Tribolium castaneum: one gene and its partner. The protein of the gene in region 1 binds, or shares a complex with, the protein of each later gene. Links are inferred from orthologs where the notes say so. Each region holds a gene or a part of one and is shown in the gene's direction. Other genes may lie near its edges.

Region 1 (4,266 bases):
AAAATTTTCCTTTAGATTCTCTTCTCTCGCTTATAAAAATTCTTGTCTAGTTTCTTTTAGAATTCTTCTTGTTCATTTTTTAGCATTGTTTTTTTACTGTCTTTTAGATTTTTTTAAAGATTTTTATGATTATCTCCTAAAGACTTCTTTAGATCTTAAATCCGCAATTTTTTTTATATTCTCCTCTCTCGCTTATAAAAATTCTTCTCTAGTTTCTTTTAGAATTGCTCTTATTTATTTTCTAGCATTGTTTCTGTACTTCTTTTTGGATTTTTTAAAGGTTTTTGTGATTCTTTTTTAAAAATTTTTACATGAATTTTAATGTTAAAATTCCTATTAATTTAATACCAACATGACTATTAAAATTTTATTTCAGACGATGAGGCTGAATCAGACATTCCAACAACTTTAATCCGTTCAATCGCCGACGTTCCGTCATTTGAACTCACCACAACCCTCACAACCAACGACATTGTCATAAATAAATTAACCCAAATTTTAAGTTACTTGCGCCAAGGCAACCGAAAGAACAAAAAAACCAAACGGGGACTCCCCGAAAGTCGCGAAAACGAACAACCGGAAGAACCCGAACCGAAAAAAACAACAAAACGTACAACCGGTGATGACTCCATCTATGGAGATATTGGTGATTACGTACCCACAAGAAGTGGTAAACATGGAAACTCGTCACGTGACCATAACAAACACACGTACTTTGATAAACAAGAGGAAGCGCTTGAAAATAGCGGACCGACTTTCAAAGTCAGTAAATCGGCACAAATCCTTAATAAACTGGCTCAAGAGCCTGAGGGATATGCTGAGTGTTATCCCGGATTGGAGGAAATGAACGATGCGATTGATGATTCTGATGATGAGGTTGATTATTCTAAGATGGACTTGGGGAATAAAAAGGGGCCGATTGGACGCTGGGACTTTGACACAGCTGAGGAGTATTCCGATTATATGAACCAGAAGGAGGCTTTGCCGAAAGCAGCCTTCCAGTACGGCCTTAAAATGGCAGATGGGCGCAGGTCCAGGAAGCATAAGGATAAGAACGAAAAGGCGCATTTGGACAGGGAGTGGCAAAAAATCCAAAGCATTATCAAGAAGAAATAATTTTGTTGTGTATTTAGGAGATAAATAAGTTAATTTAAATAAAAAATATATATTGGAAATTTGATTTTCTACAACTTTGTTCCTTACTTTTTTGTCTTACTATCGAGAGTTTAATGCTCTATGTGCCTGTATTTTTTCTTTGCTATCTGCTAATGGAACAAGTGCGCTCTCTGGTGACAATAAAGGAACTACCGAAAACGCGAGCGTTTCATTTGTACGTCTTTGGTATCTTAACCGTAGAATCCTTACTTTTGACACAACTTGAACCTAAATACCACCACCTAACCCTGGCTCTCGACTTAAGGGCCCTTTCGTGCCCAAAAACAAATTAATTTGCCCTTTTTTTACGATATTACCATAACACTACCAATCACAAGACAAAAAAGTCCCGATTTTGACAGTTGGCACAAGTTTTTGGCCATTTTGTGGTTACAATCGTGTCGGAAAATCTGTTAAGTGAAAAAAAGGCTTTAAACACGTAAGTTTTGCCTCTTTCACGTGTATTTTACCTTAAAATTGTGGTTCCGACATTTCTAACTATAATTTTGGGGAGTTCCGTCTCCAAACATGAACCACATGGGCCCCAGTAACTAGCTTTAAAGTAGTCTTAAATTAAGTTTTCGGTCTTCATTTGGCCCAAAGAAGCGAAAAACCGTTACCTAACGCCAATTTAACGCCTAGTTATTGCGTTATTTCACGTAATTTTTTTGAGGTTATGTCACTTTGTAGGTAAAAAAATGAGTCGTTTTTTCGCCGGTTCGGACTCAGACTCCGACAGCTCCTCCGAGGAAGAGCCAATTCAGCGCGCGCCAGCGCCCGTTTTCACCGTAAGTGAGCCCCCATGTAGCTTAACATTTTTTTAATGGCCCCCTTCTAGTTTAGCGACGATGAAGAGGAGGTCAAACGTGTGGTTCGCTCCGCCAAAGAGAAGCGTTACGAGGAACTCACTAACATTATCAAACAAATCCGCAATTACAAAAAAATCAAAGACATGAGCAGCATGTTGACCAGTTTTGAAGACCTTCAGAAGGCCTACGTTAAAGCGCTCCCAGTGATCGCGAAAGAAGAATCGGGGCAAACGCCCCGTTTCTTCACCCGTTGTTTGGTCGAAATGGAAGATTTCATCAACGAAATGTGGGAAGATCGCGACGGACGCAAAAACATGAGCAAAAACAACAGCAAGTCTTTGGCTTCAATGCGCCAGAAGTTGCGCAAGTACATCAAAGATTTCGAGGAGGATATTGCCAAGTTTAGGGAAAACCCCGACCAGCCGGACGATGAAGAAGAGGAAGAGAAACACGAGCCTGAGCCAGACACTCAAACTGAAGCGCCGGCCAAAGCTGTGGCTAAAATTTCCAAACAGATTGTTGATGATGAAGGGTCGTCTGATTCGGACGATTGGCCTAGTGATAGTGACTCGAGTTCGGATAGTTTTGATGAAGATGAAGGGAAAGGGACTATGAGGGAGCGGTTTTTGAAGAAAACTGGGCCGGCGCATGAAGATGATGAAGAACGCGATCGGAGGAAGGAGGAAAGGAGGAAGGAACGTAAGGAGAAGGAGAGGCGGAAGGTGAAGAAGGAGGATGAGGAGGATGGGGAAGGGGAGTGGGAGTTTGTGAAGGGGGGAATCGCAATTCCGAGCGTAAGTATCAGTACTTTAAATGTTTTTCTATTAAAAAAAATGAGGAATGACCTCTTTTCTTTTGTTATTCGGCTGTCTTGATTAGATAACACAGTACAATGAACTTTTTTTTTATAAAAAAGCTTAATAAGACCTTCTTCTATGACATATTAAAAATTTGGAAAGATATTATTTATGATTTTCTTGTTAGAGTCTGTCAAAAATAAACATTCTTGAAAAAATCAATAAAACAAAGTAAAAAATTCCGCTGTCTTGATTGGATAACACAGAGCAATGAACTTCTTTTTTATAAAACAGCTTCAGAAGACCTTCCTCTATAACATATTAAAAATCTGGAAAGATATTATTTTTGGTTTTCTTGTTAGAGTCTGTCGAAAATAAACATTCTTGAAAAAATCAAATAAAACACAAAGTTAAAAATCCCGCTGTCTTGATTGGATAACATAAAGCAATGAACTTCTTTTTTATAAAACAACTTCAGAAGACCTTTTTCTATAACATATTAAAAATCTGGAAAGATATTATGAACAATGAACTTCTTTTTTATAAAACTTTTTTATAAAACAGTTTCAGAAAACCTTCTTTTATAACATATTAAAAATTTGGAAAGATATTATTTTTAGTTTTCTTGTGAGAGTCTTCCAAAAATAACCATTCTTGAAAAATTCAAATAAAACACAAAGTTAAAAATCCCGCTGTCTTGATTGGATAACATAAAGCAATGAACTTCTTTTTTATAAAACAACTTCAGAAGACCTTCTTCTATAACATATTAAAAATATGGAAAGATATTATTTTTGGTTTTCTTGTGAGAGTCTTCCAAAAATAACCATTCTTGAAAAATTCAAATAAAACACCAAGTTAAAAATTCCGCTGTCTTGATTGGATAACATAGAGCAATGAACATCTTTTTTATTAAACAACTTCAGAAGACCTTTTTCTATAACATATTAAAAATCTGGAAAGATATTATTTTTGGTTTTCTTGTTAGAGTCTGCCAAAAATAACCATTCTTGAAAAATTCTAATAAAACACAAAGTTAAAAATTCCGCTGTGTTGATTGGATAACATAGAGCAGTGAACTTCTTTTTTATAAAACAGCTTCAGAAGACCTTCTTCTATAACATATAAAAAATTTGGAAAGATATTATTTTTGGTTTTCTTGTTAGAGTCTGTCAAAAATAACCATTCTTGAAAAATTCAAATAAAACACCAAGTTAAAAATTCCGCTGTCTTGATTGGATAACATCGAGCAATGAACTTCTTTTTTATAAAACAGCTTCAGAAGATCTTCCTCTATAACATATTAAATATTTGGAAAGATATTATTTTTGGTTTTCTTGTGAGAGTCTGTCAAAAATAACCATTCTTGAAAAATTCAAATAAAACTCAAAGTTAAAAATTCCGCTGTCTTGATTGGATAACATCGAGCAATGAACTTCTTTTTTGTAAAACAGCTTCAGAAGACCTTCTTCTCTAACATATTAAAAATTTGAAAAGATATTATT
Region 2 (4,073 bases), on another chromosome or scaffold:
CTCGTTTTTTATTATTTACTAGTTCAATGGAATTTTTCTATACTCTAGTGTAATATTTGATATTTTCCACATAACACAAACGAAACAATGCTCAATGGAAATGACCAAGGCCTTTACAAATGTTAAACTAAAAAAAGGTATTTAAAATCGTCAGAAAAAAATCTTTAGAATTCCTTATGTACAACTTTTCCGTATCTAATTTTGCACAATTCAATACTTACGGCAATGATATCTTTGGTGGTGCTAGCGGCGTAATGGAACACCGAATCAGAGTTGTAATCGAGATGTTCCAAAGACGCATTCGCAGCAACCAAAACTTGCACCGTCTTCAAATTCTTCGTGGTAATAGCAACTTGTAGTGGCGAGATCCCAGTTTCATCATCAGTACTATTCAAATAATTGTTAATCTTAGAGTCTTTAAAAGAATCATAGAGACTAAAATACGCCGCCAAATGGGCCAAGTTCCAAGAGGGGTGTTCCGCAAGAACGTCACAAATCTTTTGCAAACCTTGCACATTATACATCTGAAATAAAATTCCAAATAATCGTCTTTTAACAACTACAGCAAATTACTTCTTTCGAAATCTCAACAAACGTGGGTAACTTATCCTTCAAGACACAAAATTTCACTTCAGCTTCGTCAAGATTTGGCGAGCGGTATAAACTAAAAATTGATTTTTTTAACAGTTGACGTGTTCGGGGGCACAAACCTGTAGGTTTGGTGTAGGCTTTCCGTGTACGGGCGATGGAGCACAATTTCGTAAGTGGCCCCTTTTTTCTTGTCAACTGTATTAGCTGGGAGGTAGAGGACCAATCCATCTTCCCGTAGGTGAATCGCTCGGTCGGAAAAAGCGTCTGATTTGGCGTCAATCACTTTGGTTGGGGCGGGTTCTGAACTGAGGAAGCTACGTAAAACTGCAAAATGAAGAATAATATTTGTACCATCACAAAGCAGGGGATTACCACTTGTAAATCCTTGGGCAAACATTTTATTACTTAATATCTATTCATACGGTTACGAACACTAATCACTCACTGAGATTGACTACCGATCATTGTGTTTTATTTAAGAAATTTGTGATTTCATAGTTCAAGGTTTGTTCGAACGAGCAATTGGGGAATGAGGTTAAATCACCGGCTCAGTAAATTTGCATTTAGATTAACATCATGTTTATTGATCGTTTTATTTTAAAACATTTTTCTCACTTACTCAGCGGAAATACTTTTGAAAATGAGAAAAAAATGGAATTTCTTGCACCACCTCGAGTAGAAACCTGTAATTTGTAATTGTCAAACGTCAACTGGCTTCGAGGTTAAGTGCAAGACCATTTGCTCGCTATAGTGGCGTAGGCATATAATGAGTAAATTCAAAATGTTTTCCGACGATTATGAGCAAGTGAGTGCTTCAAACACCTAAAACTTGAACAATTTATCCTTAAACCTACACTGGGTTCTATAAAACTCTAGTAAAAGCTTTGCAAATTGAACCATGTGTCTCAAGCCTATTTGTAAAAGTGTGGAAATAATACCGACCTACATGTTTAGCATGCACCATTCCCATAATTCGTGGCAGCAAAATTGACAATAAATTGGACACTGATTTTCATTTATTTCAGGGTTATGAATACAACAGCTATGATGAGTATGGGGCTCACACAGGAGACCCCAACTTGGACAACGAGTACAATAAACAGCACCTAAAGATGCCGGAAATAGTCAAAAACTTCCTAATCTATTTCCGCAATTGCGTGAATGAGGGTTTAATCTTTGAGTTGCAAACTTTGTATGAAACTTCGTGGCCAAAACTAACCGAAGATTATTTCGAGAAACGCCCCTGGCCAGAAGAGTCAGAAGTGTCAGCGCTAGTCGACAGTGATCCCGTGAGTAAATCCATGACTATTTTACCTTCCGCCTCGATTTTGTCTTTCACTTGGTCTAGTATTTTACCCCCAGTTTCACTCTCCTGGACATCCTTAATTTTTTCCTTTACGTGATCAATTATTTTACCTTCTGTGCCAATGTCTTGGACGTCCTTGATTTTCTCCCTAACGTGTTCACTTTTGTCTTTGAGTTCTTCAGAGATTTTCTCTTTGAGCTCTTCTTTTTTGCTCAGGAGTTGCCTTTTGTAATGCTCCATTGCGACTGTTGGAAGCAGTAGCAGGGAAAAATGAACATAAATGGGTTTTATTATGTCTTTAGCAAAAGGACACGTCAGAAGCGACCTAATTACAAAGAAATCGCTCAATATCTATGATTCTTTGATGTCTATTGATTGTAAAGTTTTTGCTTAAATATTTATTTACGCAGCATGGGCGAAAAAAATTGGTTTAAAATAATAATAAATACGACTTTTGGTTTTGGACTTTAATAATGCGATGAATAATATTAAAATAAATAAAAATAAATAAATAAAATAAAAATAGATTTAACGACAAAAAATAAACTTTGAATAAGGTGCTTACAAGGTCATATCTTTTCTAATACTATACAGTTTCGACGAAATTCTAAATTTCATTTCATTTAAAGGTAATCGATTTCAAAATAAATAAAACAGCTTTTTCCTACATTTTTTTGAATTAGGAGTATACCAAAGTCAATAATAGACAAATACATTTCCAATAATATTTTTTCTCGAGGCTTGAGACTTCTTGAAATAAATCATAAAATTTGCTTATTAAACGAATTTTTGTTCTATAAATAAGTAAAACGCTTAACCAAGTAAATTGCATAAACAAAAAAAATTATGTTATAATCAACTGAATTAACAGAACTGTCTTCACAATTTACTAAAGAATTAACTTTGAGTATTTACCAACGAAAATTTGAATACAAAGTCTTAATTAGGCCCAAAAAAATCGTGAGAATCTTCAAAGTAGATTATTTGTTGTCCTTAAAAACTCATGATAAGATAAATAAATTGAGATCTCAACGGGAAAACTATTCAACTGTTCGTCTCTCTTTTGAAAAATAAAATATGCTTTTAAAAATATAAGAAAATCAGTGATAAATCGTAATAAATAGACGGTACCTCAAGCATTTTCCTAAAAACAATGTTTAAATTAAACCTAGGTACAGAATTTTGTTGCATAAATAAGTAAAATCGTTAATCAGTCATTTAGTTAACAAAAAAAAAAACATGTAATGAACTAAATTAACCAGGAACTACCTCCACAATCTACTAATCATATTTCTGTCAACTTCTATTTTCAAATGGCCTATCTTTTTCAAAAAGATAGTAATATTTAAAGTGATGAAATTAATTGAAATGAAAATCGTTATAAGTAATTGATTACCGACTGGACGCGTATTCGCCTAATAAAAATTGAGTTTAAAATAAGTATAAAAATCTGTGAATATTTTCGAAAGAACAAAAATATTTACTCATAATAGAAATATTATGAATGATTTTTTTACGGATTCAGGTAATACTGAGGGAGTGTATACCAAATACAGCGTGCTCAAAAACTGGCGCACCAACTCAGTGGTGTGTGGTAGAGAACTGGTTACATATAAAGGTAAAAATAGTAAAAAAAATCTTTGTATTACTGTTATTGATAAATAACTAATTTTAGGTAAATGATATGTGGCAACGTTGTCTAACAGTCATGATTGCAATAGAATTTGAGCAACAATAAAAATAAATTATTTTTGAAACGGTTTCCTAGGAAATAATTCCCAGTGTTGGCACATCTACACATTGTGATTTTTTGGATGAGTTTTAATTTTTTTTAATTAAAAAAACTGCTAAAATCTGATAGTAAATTTTAAAATAATTATTCATTGTATTGTTACGGAACGATAACCTGGTATGAAACATAGAAATATAAAAAAATAATGAAAACTAAAGAAGTTAACACAATAAGTTTGTAGCTCCAGATTTTTTAAAATATAACTTTAGAAATTTATTCAACATTTTTCCCGTAATCTGCACTTGCTTCTCAATAACGTACCACTGAGTTGGTGCGCCAGTTTTTGAGCACCCTGTATATAAAAAGTAGTGAGATTACGGACGGGACACAAAAATTTATCTTACGTAACAATTTTATTATAACATGAAAACTTTAACCAAAATA

Evidence for each region. The genes of interacting proteins can lie anywhere in the genome.
Region 2: eIF3c (region 1) and eIF3l share a complex: the UniProt entries of both Drosophila melanogaster proteins name them as parts of the eukaryotic translation initiation factor 3 (eIF-3) complex. The link is inferred for Tribolium castaneum from reciprocal best matches to the Drosophila melanogaster genes eIF3c and eIF3l.

Annotation. Positions count from the first base shown.
Region 1 is NC_087401.1:16,334,285-16,338,550, reverse strand, and holds the start of eIF3c (eukaryotic translation initiation factor 3 subunit C), read left to right. Parts: upstream 1-1,466; 5' UTR 1,467-1,598; intron 1,599-1,845; exon of another isoform or gene 1,846-1,848; 5' UTR 1,849-1,853; coding exon 1,854-1,943; intron 1,944-1,993; coding exon 1,994-2,758; intron 2,759-4,266. Other genes in the region: beag (protein Red), read left to right, coding at 377-1,116. UniProt on the Drosophila melanogaster protein: Component of the eukaryotic translation initiation factor 3 (eIF-3) complex, which is involved in protein synthesis of a specialized repertoire of mRNAs and, together with other initiation factors, stimulates binding of mRNA and methionyl-tRNAi to the 40S ribosome.
Region 2 is NC_087394.1:32,526,600-32,530,672, reverse strand, and holds the start of eIF3l (eukaryotic translation initiation factor 3 subunit L), read left to right. Parts: upstream 1-1,273; 5' UTR 1,274-1,357; coding exon 1,358-1,396; intron 1,397-1,533; coding exon of another isoform or gene 1,534-1,561; exon of another isoform or gene 1,562-1,616; coding exon 1,617-1,880; intron 1,881-2,007; coding exon of another isoform or gene 2,008-2,137; exon of another isoform or gene 2,138-2,392; intron 2,393-4,073. Other genes in the region: iPLA2-VIA (85/88 kDa calcium-independent phospholipase A2), read right to left, coding at 222-524, 574-664, 711-915, 2,008-2,137. UniProt on the Drosophila melanogaster protein: Component of the eukaryotic translation initiation factor 3 (eIF-3) complex, which is involved in protein synthesis of a specialized repertoire of mRNAs and, together with other initiation factors, stimulates binding of mRNA and methionyl-tRNAi to the 40S ribosome.